2 linked regions of the Danio rerio genome follow. The protein of the gene in region 2 purifies or fractionates together with the protein of the main gene of each other region. This does not show direct contact. Links are inferred from orthologs where the notes say so. Each region holds a gene or a part of one and is shown on either strand. Other genes may lie near its edges. The genes, in order: lyrm2 and ndufab1b.

What was found.
Region 1: the proteins of ndufab1b (region 2) and lyrm2 purify together in Homo sapiens (affinity purification with mass spectrometry; 3 studies listed by BioGRID and IntAct, counting the BioPlex papers as one, with this or other methods). This does not show direct contact. The link is inferred for Danio rerio from reciprocal best matches to the Homo sapiens genes NDUFAB1 and LYRM2.

Annotation. Positions count from the first base shown.
Region 1 is NC_133195.1:1,238,334-1,242,937, forward strand, and holds the start of lyrm2 (LYR motif-containing protein 2), read left to right. Parts: upstream 1-1,512; 5' UTR 1,513-1,557; coding exon 1,558-1,602; intron 1,603-3,180; coding exon 3,181-3,321; intron 3,322-3,497; coding exon 3,498-3,578; 3' UTR 3,579-3,981; exon of another isoform or gene 3,982-4,136; 3' UTR 4,137-4,604. UniProt on the Homo sapiens protein: Involved in efficient integration of the N-module into mitochondrial respiratory chain complex I.
Region 2 is NC_133178.1:34,393,386-34,396,616, reverse strand, and holds the end of ndufab1b (NADH:ubiquinone oxidoreductase subunit AB1b), read left to right. Parts: intron 1-1,843; coding exon 1,844-1,931; intron 1,932-2,034; coding exon 2,035-2,126; 3' UTR 2,127-2,140; intron 2,141-2,246; 3' UTR 2,247-2,428; downstream 2,429-3,231. UniProt on the Homo sapiens protein: Carrier of the growing fatty acid chain in fatty acid biosynthesis.

The sequences.
Region 1 (4,604 bases), on a different chromosome or scaffold from region 2:
AAAATATTAGTGGGGTATATGCACACGGACTTTTATTTTCAGTCAGCCAGCCTCAGGGCTTCCGGTTAATTGTCATCCCATACAAAATAAGATCTGATTTCTTTAAAAAAAATCAGTGATCTTCACTGCCTGGCTAAGATAGGATATAAAGTGGGTATCAGTCCAAGCAAGAAGCACTGCATTAAGTTATATTTCCCCCTGCCATGTCTTTAAAATATGGAAATTAATTTTACCTCAGTATTTTCAATGGAGTTTCTGCGCTCGCCTGCGGGTAATGATGGTGCCTGCGTTTAAACTGTCTTTCGTCTCTTTTTACGGTTTAACAACTAAATTAATGCTTTAGTCTATTGAACTGAATGCATTTTAATTACATTACAACATCAAGGCTGTAAAAGGAACCTTATGAAATTGAAAATAGTCACATAAAGATCTCACAGGAAGTTCATCATTGGCACTAGCTGTGCATAGAGCCGACAAATATTAAAGATTACATTTTTACATTAAAGCTATTTCGTGTTATAGTTACAGGATATGTATGCCTGCGAACACAAAGGGGGAAAAAACAGAATCTAAACAAAAATAATAAAATATGCAGGAATAAAACGGGAAATTGTCAAGAGAAGCTTTGTGAAGTCACGAATGGATGAACAAACTTTAATCTGTTTCTTGATTTAAGAAAAATTAAAGTCAACCCTGCTTATGCAACAGAATCAGATCAACCCGTTTAAGTGTTATAATAATAAATGTGAAATAAATTATGTGGAACGAAGAATGTAACACAATAATAATTTTGGAGTGACTAGTAAAATAATGGGCAGCCATCATGAAAATCTGCGAACATAATTGTATTAAATATAGACTTACTACAATTAACTCCGCAATTTAATTCTGACAATTATTATAAAATACTGAAAATACATATTAGATTCTTCAAGTAGATGGCGGTATTCGGCAACCAACCGGTTGTTGCTAGAAGGGATACAGCAACGGACGGAAGTTAGCGAGAATTATTTGTTCTATTCATTAATTTATACGTTAATTTTATTTTATTAACGTCTACCCCTACTTCAACACTAAACCTAATAATCACGGTAATGTTAAACCTGTAATTATACCTAGCATTATTCATATTATTTATTATATTACCCATTAAATTGTATTTTGTTAACGTCTACCCCTATCCTAACCCTAAACACAACCCGTATATTAATTATTGTACAGTCACACAAAAATTATGCTATACTGACGTGATTATCCGCAGCTGTATCCCTTCTAGACTAACTCTTCGTCAGATACAAAAGATGAAAAAGAAAACGCAGGTCTGGATCGGTTAACTCCTCCCCTTATTGCGCACTATCAGCGCACTACACAGCAAATGTGGGCGTTTCTGAATTTGAGGGTGTTTCCAAAATAATGGGTTGTTCCAATGAACATGATCGACCACACCCCTAAACCGCTGTCACTTTGAATCGAGCCAATCAGGTAGGACAATGGAAAAACGCCCCTCTAGTTTCACACAACAATTCCCTCCCACCACTTTCCTGCAGAGGAAAGAACATGGCGGTGTCTCGGTTACCACCAGCGGCTCTGAGTCTCAAACAGGTAAAGTCACGGTAAATCTTTGCTTATAAGTGTCTTACATTGGCGATAAAGCAAGTATAGATCGACAGTGAGCTGATCTTCACTACAGCTGCTGTCCGGACACGCGTATGCAGCACGAACAACAGCTAAATGTGTGTGTGTGTGTGTGTGTGTGAGAGAGACATAGAAATCTGACAGGCTATATGCAAATTACATACATGACGTACAAGCTTATGTTTACATTTCAGATAAATAATGTCAAAATATTAGAAAAATGTCTGTTTAAATATATATATATATATATATATATATATATATATATATATATATATATATATATATATATATATCAAACTATTAGAAAAACAGATAACGTTAGGTTTCAATATATCAGCTATCATCGTATGTTCTTCATATATATGGCTATAGAACATCTAAAATATTTGAACATGTATGTACATATTTGTAATTCTAATGGTCGAAACATATGTAAACAGATAGTTTTTTCGCAATATTTTGAGGTACATGTTGCGTATTTGACATATTATATTTCTCAAATCTAAATATGAACTTCTATGTCAGTATATAATTTGCATACACTCACTGGCCACTTTATTAGGTACACCTTCCAAGTATCGGGTTGAAGCCTCTTTTGCCTTCAGAACGGCTTTAATCCTTCGTGGCAGAGATGCAACAAGCTACTGGAAATATTCCTCAGAGATTTTGCTCCATATTGACATAATAGCATCACACAGTTGCTGCAGATTTGTCGGCTGCACATCCATGATGCCAATCTCCCGTTCCACCACATCCCAAAGCTGCTCTATTGGATTGAGCTCTGGTGACTGGGGAGGCCATTTGAGTACACGTATGACATGGTGCGTTATCCTGCTGGAAGTAGCCATCAGAAGATGGAGACACTGTGCTCATAAAGGGATGGACATGGGCAGCAGCAATACTCAGGAAACCGCTGATACAAGGCAGGATGGATCCATGCTTTCATGTTGTCGAGGCCTAATTCTGACCCGACCATCCGAATGTGACTGAGACTCATCAGAGCAGGCAACGTTTCTCCAATCTTCTATTGTCCAGTTTATTTTAATATTTTTGAGATGTGAATATTTTTCTGGTGTGAATCTCTTTTTTGAGATCTCAATCAGGTTAAGGTCAGGACTCTGACTGGGCCATTCCAGAAGGTGTATTTTCTTCTAGTAAAGCCGTTCTGTTGTTGATTTCTTTACAAATCTGTTTCAGTTCAGCATTATTCTTGGGATGTCTGGTGTGAATCACCCTCTTGAGGTCATGCCACAGTATCTCAATCGGGTTGAGCTCAGGACTCTGACTGGGCCACTCCAGAAGATGTATTTTCATCTGTTGTTGATTTACTTCTATGCGTTGGATCTGTCTTCTGTTGCCTCACACATCCTCTGGGTCTATTCTTAATCCCAGAGGGTTCATGTACGTCTTCTTGCAACTGGATGCATGTGTGTGTGTGTGTGTGTGTGTGTGTGTGTGTGTGTGTGTGTGTGTGTGTGTGTGTGTGTGTGTGGTCATTTACAGTCCAGCCGCTGTAGTAAACCCATGTTGTGTTGTGTTCAGTTTCTGCAGAGACAGAAGGTGCTGTGTTTGTACAGAGATCTGCAGCGCACCATCCGCAGGGTCCCGCACGAGTCTGACCGCAAATACCTGCGAGACTGGGCCCGAGACGAGTTCAGGAGGAACAAGAGCAACACAGACCAGGTGGACACCTCACACACTTTCAGATTTTATTAGTAACGTTCTATTATTCTAATAAGCAAGATTACAAACAAGCAAAGCAATAACAAACATTGCTTAGAAGAGTTTTTATTATTTATTTATTTCCACTGAGTCTTCAGTCGTGGTGTTTTGTGAAATGGGGTGTTTTCCCTGTGCAGGATGCCATCCGCATGATGATCAGTCAAGCGCACAATCATCTGGAGGAGTTGAGGAGATCTCTGGCTCTGGCTGGATGCTGAAACTCTGCTGAAAACCCAGACTACAATGAGGACACACACATCTATATTTATTTATCATGCACACATTTATTAATAAAACCCAGCTTAACAAACTCACTTCATATAGACTCTGTGTGTAGTTGCGTCTTTTCAGTACAGCTCCAGTCTAACGCTCCGTCCTGGTGTCCACGTCTGATTACATTTACAGATGTGGTTTATGTAGAAAGCTTGAATACTTCTGGTGTTATTGATGATTATCACACGGCTGTCTGGAATACTGGATTCTGATTGGTCAGTCGTGACATTACAAGGTATGTTATTCCCAGATAACAACCACTGAATAACACAGACTCATCCTGGAACTGAGAATCACCATCAGTGAATATGTTCACATCCATATACTTACATCCACACTCATGTGTGTGTGCTTTAGTTTTGGACTGTTTGGCTCAGTTTTTGTAAATGAATAACCCACAGGTTAGTGTATACTCCATTAGCTGTTTTAGTTTAGGTCAGCTCTGCGTTTAATGAAAGAATTAATTAACTATTACTGTTAATTAATTAGGGAGAGGCAGTGGCGCAGTAGGTAGTGCTGTCGCCTCACAGCAAGAAGGTTGCTGGGTCGCTGGTTCGAGTTGGCGTTTCTGTGTGGAGTTTGCATGTTCTCCCTGCCTTAGGTGGGTTTCCTCCGGGTGCTCCGGTTTCCCCCACAGTCCAAAGACATGCGGTACAGGTTAATTGGGTAGGCTAAATTGTCCGTAGTGTATGAGTGTGTGTGTGAATGTGTGTGTGGATGTTTCCCAGAGATGGGTTGCGGCTGGAAGGGCATCCGCTGCATAAAAAACTTGCTGGATAAGTTGGCGGTTCATTCCGCTGTGGCGACCCCGGATTAATAAAGGGACTAAGCCGACAAGAAAATGAATGAATGAATGTTAATTAATTGACATAGTCCATAAAAACAGTTCTCCATTTCTTATTTAAACAATTAAGAACAACATAAAACAGAAATATGTTGATGTTCTGATAGCGATTCCTATGTAGAAGAAC
Region 2 (3,231 bases):
AAAATGTGATAAAGGTTAACAAGCACTCCCACATGCTGTCAGTACTTGTTGAGTAATTACTTAAATATAAACGTATCGTTTGTAATAAATGTATACATGTCTGATGAAGACTGAAACGTTACTATTAAATAATCTATTCAGTTGTTGTTGTTGATAGTGGGCAGGATTGTTTGTTCTTCTATTTCTGGTAAAAAAGAATAGATCCACGCATTCTCTAACTGATAATATTACCCATAATACTCTGTGCGTTGGACATGAATTCGATTAGAGTTACAAATCTGGGTAAAACGTCTAAACAAACTACAAACATGTTAGAACACATGTGACTGAGCGTTAAGTGGAGAGGCTTTGGTAAAGACGTTTGAATGATTGTTATTTAATATCCAACCTTATGGAATATGTACTTGACGTTTTCCAGGTTATATTTAATCTGGAACAACAATGTAAACTTAAATAAAAAATAAAATTAAAAATCAGTCCAAGGCAGACCAGGGGCAGCCAAGCTGGAGCACGTACTCTGGTGCCCTGGGCTCTGCGATGGTTAGGGAAATTCAAAATTGAACATGAATCTTTATAATTGGCTTAAGATTGGCAATGAAAATTTAAAAATAGCAGCCAGCAGATCCAGGGAAAAAAATCAGTCCAAGGCGCTCAAAAACATGGAGGAAAAATATTAAAAAGTCTTTATTGACATAGCTATTCCTTAAAATGGAGCCATTTTGGCTGAATAGCCATGTCAATAAAGGTTTTTAATATTTTTTTCATTTTTGCTTTTTTTTTTTTCTGATGAATCTCTTCTCAGAACAAACACATTATTTAAGATTCCCCTGAGCACTTTTTGTCTGACTTTGGATTTTTCTATGAAACGTGTTTGGAAATTCTTCTAAAAGCGTAATTAACCAAAGACCTGATGAGATTTCTCTGCTTGAAAGAGTTGCTATTGGCTAATTCATTGTTTCCCAACCCTGTTCCTGAAGGCACATCACCAATACACATTTTCAACCTCTTCCTAATCAAACATCCCTTAATCAACTCATCAGACCATTAAAAGAGACTTCAAAACCTGAAATGAATGGGTAAGGTAAGGGATAAGGTAAACGTCCAAAATATGTACTGTTGGTGTGCCTCCAGGAACTGGGTTGGGAAACGCTGGGCTAGTTAACCTGCTGCTGACTCTCCATTATCATAGGTATTTTGATATGAAAGAAATGGGGATGATATGTCGAGATGAGTGACAGGGCACATAACTAAGCAACAGTCTGTTAATGAGGAAGTAGTATGTCCAAAAAATCATATTTATAATTATATTTATGTAGCACTTTTACAATGTAGATTGTGTCAAAGCAGCTGAACATAGAAGTTCTAGTAGATTGAAACTGTCAGTCAGTTTTCAGAGTTGAAGATCAGTTCAGTGTGGCTTAAATTTGACTGCTGAAAGTTCAAACACTGAAGAGCAAATCCACCGATGCACAGCTCCACAATTGCCAAACCAAGCAAGCCAGTGGTGAGGAACAAAACTTCACCAATTGATGAAAGTGAAGAAGAAAAAAAACCTTGAGAAAGCAGGCTCAATTGAGCACGACCATTTCTCCTCTGGCCAGACTTCTTGTGCAGAGCTGCAGACTAGGCGCTGGAGGCTGGAGAAAGCTAAACGTCCTCCAGCACCAAAACTGCAGTCACTTAAACGTATATACTTTCCCTAAACAAAAAAAGTATGTGAATTGGGACGCAGCATTGATTGGATTTACAGATTTATTACTTTCAATGTTCTTAGTTTACATTTGAGATCTACTTATTCCTAGCTTCTCACTGATATGATTGCCTTTTACTGTTTCCTTTAAAGCTTAAATCGACGTCTCACTTCATGAAAGATCTGGGGCTGGACAGCTTGGACCAGGTGGAGATTATAATGGCCATGGAAGATGAGTTTGGTTAGTATCGGGTTTGTTCATATTAAGTCATCTCACAACTGTGATTTACTCTGCAAACGCTTTATGTGAATGCTGGTGCTCAAAGAGATTGTGTCGTTTACAGGGTTCGAGATCCCAGATGGGGATGGAGAGAAGCTTATGACTCCTGAGGAGATTGTAACATACATTGCAGATAAAAAAGATGTGTATGAATAGAGGCAAGTCACATGGTATGCGCTATTGTTTTTAGTTAAGCTAATCTATTTAGATTGTAGGAAATCCAGTCATGCTTGAAGAGATTGGTAAGAGTAACGTTTCTTCGCTCTTCTCCTGCAGGTATGGAGGATTGACTCTGTATTAAACAATATGGCTGCAGCATTGAGTTCCAGTTGTACTATCTCCAGTCTCTTGTTTATGGAGTCAACTGCCTTGTCATGTGTACTGTTGTATTTAATGAAAATGTCACTATAAACTTTTTGGGAACTTGAGCTGAAAATAAAGCCAAGACTAAATTGTAATGCTTTGTTTTGTCATGATCTACGACGTGAAGCCTCACTGCTCCCTCTGGTGGTTGGAAAGAAACACTGCTGTTTGAGTATAATAGGTTTCCAATTCTGTTTCTGGAGGGCCAATAGTTCTAAGTTCTTCAACACGCTTGCTTGGAAGTCTCTGATCAGCTGGTTGAGGTGTTTTATTTGGACAGTAAATTTAATGTTCTCTGGCTGCCATGATCAGTCTCTCACAATGTTTTTTTCTTTTCTGAAAGTCTTGATAATGTCATCTTATAGTTTTTCTCTTATTTGTAGGACTCCCTATTTACTGTGCTCTAAGTTTACCTTGAGAAACCTAGAAATGTGAAAAGGGTCCATTAGACAAACTTGGATTAAAAAAAAAATGTTAAAGCTCGTATCCTAACAATCCACTTCTAATCAAATGCTGTGTTTTGAACGAATATAAATGAAACTGACTAAAGACCCCTAAATGGGAAAACAACAGGACATTGTCATTAACCGAGGCCATAAAAATGGCATATTCCTGCTTTCTTCTCTTTAAAGGAACTAAAACCAATTTTAAAAATAACCGAGCTCATTCACTAAAGAATAAAATCTACATTTCCATGAATTTATTAATTGTATTTTATTCCATAAACTACTGATGGCACAAAAACGTGTGATGTTTTCAGACATTTAAATATTTTAACCTAATACCAAACACTATCTTTTGAAGAGTTAAAAAAATAATATTTTTGTAACAGATTTTTAGTCAATCATTCTGAACAATGGTCAATTTTGTGGGAAAAAAAGCATTTAGTTTAAAATTT